Drosophila melanogaster: one gene and its partners. The protein of the gene in region 1 interacts with the protein of each later gene in a pairwise test. Each region holds a gene or a part of one and is shown on either strand. Other genes may lie near its edges. The genes, in order: Taf12, Alg13 and CG5662.

The links.
Region 2: the proteins of Taf12 (region 1) and Alg13 interact in a two-hybrid assay, tested with the Drosophila melanogaster proteins (one large-scale study listed by BioGRID).
Region 3: the proteins of Taf12 (region 1) and CG5662 interact in a two-hybrid assay, tested with the Drosophila melanogaster proteins (one large-scale study listed by BioGRID).

The regions. Positions count from the first base shown.
Region 1 is NT_033777.3:11,677,991-11,681,749, forward strand, and holds Taf12 (TBP-associated factor 12), read right to left. Parts: upstream 1,701-3,759; 5' UTR 1,577-1,700; exon of another isoform or gene 1,409-1,576; 5' UTR 1,224-1,408; coding exon 954-1,223; intron 883-953; coding exon 562-882; 3' UTR 396-561; downstream 1-395. Other genes in the region: CG18476 (uncharacterized protein), read right to left, coding at 1-26; Ho (heme oxygenase), read left to right, coding at 1,881-2,037, 2,094-2,599, 2,655-2,882; CG6830 (uncharacterized protein), read right to left, coding at 2,998-3,212, 3,273-3,639, 3,695-3,759. UniProt on the Drosophila melanogaster protein: TFIID is a multimeric protein complex that plays a central role in mediating promoter responses to various activators and repressors.
Region 2 is NT_033777.3:29,137,470-29,140,732, forward strand, and holds Alg13 (Alg13 UDP-N-acetylglucosaminyltransferase subunit), read right to left. Parts: upstream 1,105-3,263; 5' UTR 1,058-1,104; coding exon 542-1,057; 3' UTR 501-541; downstream 1-500. Other genes in the region: Vha100-1 (vacuolar H[+] ATPase 100kD subunit 1), read left to right, coding at 1-54, 115-217; superdeath (suppressor of ER stress-induced death), read left to right, coding at 1,273-1,294.
Region 3 is NC_004354.4:15,208,583-15,212,085, reverse strand, and holds CG5662 (uncharacterized protein), read right to left. Parts: upstream 1,701-3,503; 5' UTR 1,631-1,700; coding exon 752-1,630; 3' UTR 619-751; downstream 1-618.

The DNA of each region.
Region 1 (3,759 bases):
GTGCGACAAATCACCGGCAGCTTCATGGCGAACAAATTTGTTTTGGCCAATTGAAAGCTTTTTTAATTTTAAATCAACAATCAGAAAATCAACATTATTGATGGTATGACCTTGATGCGAGAGATGGAAAATACCGTTCGGTCATTAAAAAAATACCACGTTGTTAAAAAATACAGCAATTAATTGGGTGCGTTCAGCAGAGTCCGCTAATTATTTTCAAAGGGAAATATTACACAAATATTTTTAAAATAAACTGAAGAAATTGTTAAATTATGAAAAATATAAATCAATATCCACCAGACAAACAATTAATACAAATATTACAGAACCATTAGAAACTGTGATTAAAAAATCACGACTTAAAATTTACTGCTGACGGTGACCAATTGTTGAATGTGAAATCAATAGTGCACTTTTATTACAATAAATCTACAATAGAGCGACGATAATTTGTTATTTAATCTAAATTGGAGCTTAAATTAGTTTGTGGCGTGTGCACGTTTAGCATACGCGAAATCCGGCAAACCGAAACAGAGCCTCGACCCGATTAGATCCAATCCTCTAGTATTTCTTGATCGTTTTCCGTATGAGGGCAAGGCGCTGTTTGTGCGCCTCCGTGACAGCTGCCCGCTTGTAGGGACGCAGTTCGTCCGTACCGAAGCCGGGTATCCACATGTTGTACTTCCGCTCAAAGTGCAGCTGCACGTCGCGCACCTCGATCTTGTTAGACTTTCGGTGCTTGGCGAAGGCGCTCGTCGACTTGACGGTGTCCTCGACAAAGTCGTCGATGATCTGAAGCAGAAGCTCCTCAACATCCTCGTCCAGCTGCGTGGTGGTATCCACCTCTCGGACGAGCTCTGTGAGACGCGGTTTGGTAAGCATCTGTAATTCGGAAGAGAGTTAAACTAGACCCTGGCGTATTCCGTGTGCACTCCATAAGGCACGCATCTTACGGGAGTGTTCTCGGAACCGGCGGCGGATGATGTGTGATTGGATGACTTGCTACCACCAGATATGGGGCCCGTTCCCGTACCCAAACCGGAAACCGGTCCGCCGTTCTGCGAGGATGAGTTGCTGTTGTTGGTCATCGGACTGTGCTGGGAGGGCGAGGCCATGGGTGGGTCGTGGAGCAGTCCGCTGGCGGACGATGTGGAGTTGTGGTTGTGGTGCAGGTGGTGCTCGGCGACGCCGTTGCTATCGAAAGTGGTAAAGAGATCCGACATTGCTTTTGGGTTTCTTCAGAGTCAAATCAAGTGGGTGGTAGGTCGGTTGGTTGGAAGTGTTTGGGGAAAGTACAGTAAGTTGGGCGGATTTTTGGGGAGTGGGTAAGAGTGCAGAACCAAAGCCAAAAGCGTTAGTGTACTTGTTGTTGTTGCTGCTTATGTTGTGTGTCCTCCTGCTTTCTCAACTGCAGTCGGTGATTGTGTGTGCGTGGGTGTTTGGTTGCAAAGCGAAATGTAAGTAAAAGAATAGAGTGGTCAATTTCACGCGTGCGGTCTTAAGAATCCGTCGCTTTGTGTGTTTACTAAAACTAAAGTGTTACTTAGCAGTTGCTCTTAGCGCATGCAACACTTACAATTATTGCGGTTTTAACACTTTGATCTTAAACTATTACTTTCCTAAATTACTAAACAAAATAAAAATAAGCGGAGCAACTACAGCCAAATCAACAGTATGGCCAGTTGCAGGCGACTCTGAAATGCCCGCTGGTGCTATAAAGCAATTTGGTATATTTACGTTTAATTTCAGTATATTTTAGTTAGACAGCCACACTGGCGTGGAGTTCAAAACAAAACAAAGACGGCGTATTTTGCAAATATCACGTAGATAAGGAATATATTTTACTTTGTAATTGGGAACAATAGCTGCGCAAAAGAAACATGTCAGCGAGCGAAGAAACAATAGCGGACAGTCAGGTCTCCGAGAATGTGGAGGATGTGGAATTCGTAGACATGGCGTTCACAAAGGAGTTGCGTAAAGCCACAAAAGATGTGCATAATCTTACTGATGTTCTAGTGAATGCAAAGATCGCACTTGGTTCGTTAATTACACGATATTATTAGAAGTTATTAGATATTCCTCTTCTTCCATAGCCCTTTCTGATGACGAGGTCTGGTATGATGGACTCCTGGCCTTCTACGAACTGTACAAATTCTTTGAGACCCATCTGCCGGAGCGCCTGCTGCCCAAAGAATTCCACAGAACAGCGGCATTTGAAAGGGATTTTGCCTATTTCTACGGTTCCGATTGGAGGAAGGACTACGAAATTCGCCCGGCGGTCCAGAAATATCTCGAGCATCTGGAAAAGATTGCCGCACAGAACGAACTCTTGCTGTTCGCCTACTCCTATCAGATGTACATGGCTTTGATGTCCGGCGGACAAATGTTGCAGAAGAAGCGTATGATCGCTCGTAAAATGTGGATCTTTTCAAAGAACGATGACGAGGAGCAGCAGAAGCAGGCCGACAAGGAGGCAGAGTTGGCCACCGCCAGAGCTGCCGATGGCTCTGTAGACAAAGACGACTTGGAGGCCAGGCCAATGCCTGCCCAGGTTACCATTTGCCCGCCGGGATGTGAGGCCACATATTTTCCTGAGAAGGTGCGTAGCTTTTTACTTTGTTCCTTATATCTATTGTCTTTATATCCACTTTCAGATCTCTGTCTTAAAGGCCAAACTAAGGCGCGTTTTCAACAATCACTACGGAGCTTTTGACGATGATTTGCGTGCTGCTTTTATTGAGGAAAGTCGCAACGTATTTCGCTTAAATATAGAAGTAGTACGGACCATCAAAGGTGTGAATCGTGCCAATCTTAGGAAGCTGGCCCTCGCACTAATCTTTGTTTCAAGTATTGTAGTGGCCGTGAAATTTGCTCTCAAGTAAGAAAAGTAGGAAATACAAATGTAAGCTCTCTTGAGCAAGTTAGAATTGTGATCACACATTTATTTAGTCGTTTGTTAAATAGTAAATAACCTGAAATTTGTCTGAAGTAAAGTATTTATTGGGAATGTCCGTTGGCAAAATTATCAAGCAGTCCTCGTCTATTTATCCATGGCATGACACGCTCTATATTGGCCCTATAACGTTCGTTGCTAAACATTGCCTCCCTCAGGGATTTGCCATTCTCTTCATTTCCCAAAAAGCTATCAGTGGTAAAGTCATCGGTTGTCTTGTTAAGACACATCGACAAGGTAGTGAGCACAGTTCCAGCAGCTTGAAGAAAAACATGTCAGTCAGAGGAATTTAAAAACCTCAAATCCTTCTGTAAATTACCAAAAATGGGGTGCTGTATCAGAATGGCGTGCAGTTCCTTTAGCGAGGGAATAAATCCGTTGTAGTTCAACAGCTTGGCGTGCTCCTTCATGTTTTGATGATACCATCGGATAAGGTAGTCAAACTGATCGACTTTGATGTCCAGTTGAGTGGAGCTCATTATGAAGTAATACAGATCCTGGGCAGGATTTCCATACTTCGTGACTTGGTGATCCAACAGGAGGGTTTCCTTGACGCGACCATCTGATTCGTATTGGAACATGATGTTATTTATCCAGGCATCACCATGATTGAGCACATTAAACGCTTGTTCATTTATTTTGGCATCTTCAAGTATTCTGTCGACATACGTATCCAAGATCTCTGGCTGCAAAATATGATTTTGTTAAGTTAGTTACAAGGAATAAAGTAAAGTGACTTACCATTTTGTGCAAGTACTCATCCACACCGTCAAACTTGCTCACTTCTTCTATAAAGGATTTCTTAG
Region 2 (3,263 bases), about 17 Mb from region 1:
TCTGGTACTCATGGAGGGCTTGTCTGCCTTCCTGCACACCCTGCGTCTCCATTGGTAAGTCACCTAATCCTCGAGAAGTATGAAATGGTATCTAATTGAACGGCTTTCTCATAGGGTCGAGTTCCAGAGCAAGTTCTACAAGGGCCAGGGTTACGCCTTCCAACCCTTCTCGTTTGATGCCATCATAGAAAACGGAGCTGCCGCCGCCGAGGAGTAAATAAAGCGGAATATCGGTCAGAGCAACAACCAAAGCACGTTGAGAGTCTCATTGCGTTATATGAAATTAACTATCCAAATAAGTGGAATCTACCAGTTACAGTAACAAACATATATGTACGTTTTAATGTTTAATTGTCGTGAATTTATCTATGTATGTATATCGTATAGCCCCAGCAAACGTTAGATTGCTAACAATATTTAATGTTCTTCGTAGACGTTCTCCTGTTTATTAACTATACTTGTAAACTCAAATAAATAGAAAAGGCTAACCCCTTGGGGTTGGCACCAAAAGAAGCTTGCATTTGGGAATGCTTATTGGGAGTCAATGGGACATCAGCTGATTGATGGCGGAAACGAATTTGCTAAGATTTTCCGGTTTCGTTTCATAGGGCTTTAAGGCTTCAAAGTCCAGAGTAGCTAGCTGGGCATCCACGTCGGTAACTTTGCAGTAATACAGATAGTTTTCAGCGGCCAGTTGCTTGGCCAACTCCAGTTGATGATTGTCCATGAGCGTGTCATTTATCACAATGAGTCCAGGTTTCTGGTTATTTAGTATATCCATGCAAGTTCCGGCTCCCGCATGTCCAATAATTAGGTCTGCGGACTTGATGTCCTCCGTATTTGGCCGGAAATTGTACTGCTCTATCTGGATTCCGTAGTTTTTTCTTATCAATTGTATTTCATCGTCTGTTAATGGTTGCGAATTTCCGTGCTGTATGACGAGTTTGGTGCATTTCCGGTTCTGTAGAGCTTTGAGTGCGGGTTCCGTGGATGCAGTTGATATTAGAGCATCGAATTTGGTGGTACCAACGGTAATGTAAACAGTGTTCAAATGCATTTTCTGTAAATAGTTAAACAACAAGACACAGCTGTTACGAGTTGTGCTTCCTCTTCGCCTTTGCCATTCAGCCGGCGTAACTCATACGACGTTCAAATAAATGGCAGCCTGGAAGCTCGAAACACCGGCCATAACCGTTACTTTATCTACTAGGAGTGCAGTAAATAAGTAAAAAGAGTAGTGAAATAGTTTTAAGCAATACTTGTTTAAGCAAAATGCTTAAATTCAATTTTAAACGTAAGTATTCCGCTTTCACAGCGCTCAGTTTATTTTGCTCTCACGCAGCCAAAGTGCGAATTTGGCGCACGCGATCGCCATCTCGCTCATTGTGCTTCCATTCCATTTCCATCGCAGCTTGTTTATTCCGCTTATTCAGTTCTCAACCGTTAGCCGTTACGGTTGTGCCCGCGCTCGTCGGGAAAATACGCGAAAGAACTGTGCTCCGTTTAGTGATAGTCCCTTGGCAAATTGCATTTTGATTAGTTTGGCAGCTCGGCCTTAGTACAAGTGATTTGTTTACATTTAATTCAATTAATTAGGCGTCTGCCAGGCTGCCAACAGTGTGTGCGCGCTTGTGTTGGTGACCGACCACAAATCAGTGTCGCGCCAGCGTAACGGTAAAGGTGCGAAAGAGTCCGACAAACGGTTTTCCAGGACGGAGGTGAAACGGTAAATTAAATTATTCCCACGTTTCGAATGCTGCGTATGTGTGTGTGTGGGCGATTTGTGCGTGTGTGTGCACTGAGAAAAATGCACTGGCATGGCGATCATTTTGCACCACCATTAAACTAAAAATATAAGTACATTAAACGATTTGAGCACATTTCTTTTTGTGCAGTGAAAACGCTTCAAGTACTTAATTATCCTAGGTGCACAAGTAATACAACAATTTTAATATCCATTTGCCATGTGCGTTTCGCTTTGATATTTCTTTCTCTGCTTGCCGGCTGCGGTTTGCACGTCGGAAGGTAATTGACTAATCAACACTTCGTTTAATTTCGTTTTTATATCTGCACCCTCCCCATTTGTTTATTTGGCAAACGCTTTTCAAGTTTGCCTGCCATCTGGCAGCGATTAAAATAAAAAAAAAACAAACACTTTTCTAGCCTCAAATGCTCGATATTACGAGAACAAGACGCTCACGCAGGACCCATAAATTAGCCAGCCAGAAACTTTCCTTTCCTTATGATCGCCAATTTATGGTGATCTCCCGCTTATTTACTAGTCAAATTTGCAGAAATCATCTGGTACTGCCCCAAAATTCAATTAGAGCACCCGTGCAAATTATCGAGTTGCCCAGCGATCGGTTATTCTATTTTTCCAACACCCCAGGCCCTCGGTTCCACCCTCCAGAATACACACCCACACACTTACACACGCGTGGACCATCACTCAACGGTCAATAAATTGGCGCTCTCTTTTTTTCTTGTTTTTGGTTTTGTTTTTGTTTTTGTTTTTGTTTTGATAGCGAGTAAAAGGCCGCGCGATTTAAATTTAATGTCTTAATTGTGGGCGTGTGAAGAACCAATATTTACTTGTCTCCGCTGTCTCTTGATTCCCTTTTGCTTCCCATATCACCCCCCCCCCCACAACTTTCCCAATGATTTGTCAATATTCGCTTTCCCACTCGCAGGCGTTCATGTCCTTGTGTTTATTAACTGTCTGCACTGTGAGAAAACCGTACATTCTAGTCCTATAAAATTGGTTCCACTGATCAAAATGAAAAGGTTCACTTTAAGCAAAGTTACATATGTCCGATCTAATTAGTTAGGAATTTTGAAGATTTCCAGCAAATAATGCGTGAATCGAAGTGTACTAGCCTTATCCATCGCCATATGCTGACACATCGCCAGCGGCTTACACGCAGTTTATCAATGAAATATTGCTATAAATTGGATCCCCAACGAGCGCGAGCGACCCAGGGATACGGACCCCATGGAGGCGGGATGGGATGGGCGGAGTGGGCTGAGGCGGATGGAGGCGGCGTATCATTTGCAGCCTTATTTTAATGAAGGTCATCGAGCCAGCGACGGGGTTGACTTCTGTACATGGTTGTCGGCGTTTAATTGCAGCAATTTGCAAAAACAGCAGCAGCAGTAGCATCATCAGCCGAAGGAGAAAGAGCAGGGAGCTGCAGATGCTGCAAATGCTACAGAAGCTGATCAAATTAATGCCATAACTCAATTAGCCGGCGGGCGTATTTGCA
Region 3 (3,503 bases), on another chromosome or scaffold:
TGAGTTTCTGATTGCGAAACACAAAAAGGGAGCCAAAATGGTAGGAAAACATGGGGAGCTGGCTGACAGCGGACCTAGTCGATGTCGATGATGGTTCCCTGATTGTCCGAACGATGCGGCCATGTCACACGGGTTAGCCGGAGTACTGAAGTCCCGCAGACCCGTAAACTCTTCTCCCAGGGAACTCTGCATTGAGATTGGTGACTTTGGGCCAGTCATAAAATCGAACCTACAAGTCGAGGGCGAACTTAAATTGAATGCCAGCCCGCGCCGAAAATACTGCCTAGTACACTCGAAATATAAAAGAGGCCAATTTTTTCGCAATAAAAAAATTAGATTTTTATGACTCGCCAGTAATGACTCCACATTTAGAAACTATAATTGCAAATTTGTAAGTGTAAACTTCATTATTACCGGGATTATTCTAAAATGAATATCTAATTTAAAAATTGCAACAATCATTTATTTTGGATTTACTTGCTTTCTATTTGTTTGATTTCTTTACTTTATTTTTTCAGTGTTAAATGCCTTGTCTGTTGCTGTATTTTATGGCATTGTGCGCTGGCTTAACTCTGGTTCAAGTTTCCCCGTGCCACACCCCATGCAAAACCCACTCTTCCTCCGACTTGTCTGCCGTTTTTATTGTAAATGCTTTGCATATTTTTGATTGCCTTCCCGACCCTGGCCAAATAAAAAAACAATAAGAATCCTTTGTTCCGGGGCAGAGGGATTCCGAGTCCTGCCCTTTCCTTTATTCTATTTTTTCCAACTCCATCTCGTCCTCCTGCTCCTCCACCGCGCTGGTCAGGAGTTTGCCATCAAACAGGCTCTGATCGATGCGGCGACAGTGGGCCAATAGACGTGGATATGTGGCCAGAACCGCGGCCAGTTCCATGTTGGGAAGCTTGGTGGTCATTATGGCTACCACATGGCCAAAGACCAGGGCGTCCAATTTGCAAGGTCGTGAGCCGCCGAAATAGCTCTTCGCCTGGTCCTCCTCCAGTTCAGCGATCAACGCATCGGCACAGATGCTCACCTCCTGGATTACCTGGTCGTTGTCCAAATCCTGCCACCGGTAGACCTTCAGTATCTTCTGTGCGTCCTTCTGCTTGGCAAACCGGCGAATCGTACTCAACGGCCACGGATGAGCGGCTGCACAGCGCGTTGCCGTGTAAAGTTGATAGTTTACCTCATCCACAAAACTCATATGAATCTCCGCCAGGGTGAAGACATTCTCCACATAGCTAACCAGACAGCGGATGTTATCGCGCTGATCCTCGGACATCCAACTGTCCAGGCAATTGCCGCCTTGCACGGCCTCCACTTGGGCCACTATTGGCTCGAATTCCGCAAAAGTCTTGACAGGGCCCAAACGGAGCAGCGGCAGGTGGGTCAACCGGCCACCTGGTGACATAAACTCTGCATTGTCGCTGATGTGCTCCGTAAATGGTAGGTTGCACATGCGCAAAAACGTCTTCACCGCCAGGCAGCTGGAGCGCTCCGGCAACAGGAGCTGATTCGCCTCGGCCGGCTGATGCAGGTGGGCGTCCGCCGGCCACGCCTCCTCCGACTTGCCCTCCTCCGCCGACGACTGCATCAGGGCGGCGGTCAAGTTTTGTTCCAACTCCATGCTTAAAGTGCCGAAAATTTTGACTGTGGGTTTCTTTTTATGGAATTGTTGAAGTGACAATTGTGGCAGTGATGGCTATATTAATATTTTCATATATTGTGAGAAAGAATTTTTGTTTACGTTTCATCAGTCAACTTTTGAGTACATTACTGCTAGAATTCGGAATATTATAAATGGGTTGCAAATAAATGTTAAATAAAAAATAAAGAATCTTAAAAGCAAATTCTTCCACAATTCAAATAAAATAAAAGTAATGCATTGTAAACTTACATATATGACTTTATAAATTTCAATAATAAACGCTGTAATTCCCACCTAATTAATATGACAGGAGCCAACAATTATTGACGAAACTTACCTAATTTTCGTGTCTGATTTATTTCATAATTTTATATTTCCAGAAATTTCCCTTGAACTTGTTTACTTTCAGTTATGTCTATCCATTGATTGTTTTTTGTTCATGCGTACAAGCAGTTGTTAAGTGAAAGCAAATATATGGCATTTAAGCATTTAATTAGTCTGCAATGAAAGGCATTGAAACTTGAAATGTGCAATTAGCAACGAATAAATGTGAAAGCAAATAAACTATACTCGCAATTAGGCAAATAACTTGAAATCAAACTGACAGAGAGCAATATTCCTACATTGGACTTAAAGAGCTGTCTGCCTTCGTTTCATCGTTGACAGGATTCACTTTTCCACAGAAAAATCAGTTGTGTGCTTTGATGATGGAAATGTTTTGTGAATTTTCTGCTCGACTGGACATTCAAGCAATTAATCATCGGCCACCGCCCTTCCACATTCCATTGGCACCCCCACCAAAAAGGTTTCGGCCCACTCGCCGCCAAATTTTTTTTCTACTACCGCCCGCTGGTTTTTGGCCGACAGCCTCGCGGGAACTGGAACTGAGGATGATAAATTGCTCGGGCGGAGCATTATGCACAGTTTTGTGGCTCCTCTGATCCAGGACTCGAGTGCTTCCGGAAATGAGGCAAAAGTTTTGGGCGCTCTCTATTCGAACGTTTCATGGATCATCAGGTACGAGAAGCTGGCGGGCTCTCCATGATTGCTAATTGAATGGCCTTGATGATACAATACATCGCTACACGGAAAGAAACTCGAAATACTGCACCAAATCGAAAGTTCTAATTTAACAAAGAAACACTTTAATGAAATATCGAAATAATAATTAAAATAATTAATAATAATTAAGCCCGTTTACCATTTGTTTTGTATTGAAATGTTTATTTTAAAACATTTTATTATACTTCTAGGCAATGCTATTTGAAATAACCAATCTGACTTGCGTTGACAGCTGTGAAAATTGCGAGCTTCGATTGACGGATTATCCCATTTTGGGCGGACGCCTTGGACCTGATTAGTATGCCCGCGAAGTTCGAAAGCCGAGACTAATTTAACGCCAAGTAACGAATTTTGGATGAGAGTTTTTGATTTACCAGCCACGTTACTGGGAAATGAAAGAGTAAATATACGAGGGCCGTGGCGTTGTCGTTGATTGATTCGGTCGAGGGCTACTGGGAATTCCGTCCAATCCATTGACAACCAAGTCGCAAAACACTGCCAAATTAATTAAGCCACACAGAGTAGGCACTTCGGAACCGAACCAGTGATATCTAGCCATTGTGGGTTAAGGATTCACGATGCTCGGTATGCTCGGGATGGCAAGGATGTTGGCCTGGTTGAGACATCGTTTCGGCAACAAAAGCCAACAAAAGGCAACAATTCTTACCCACTAATAAAGAATAATATGACTGCCATAAAACTCAATTTATTACCAAAATGTCGACAAGCAGCAGACTTTTGTGCGTATATGTGCCACTGTGTCTTATTCGCTTTCTCCTTTCTTATTTTG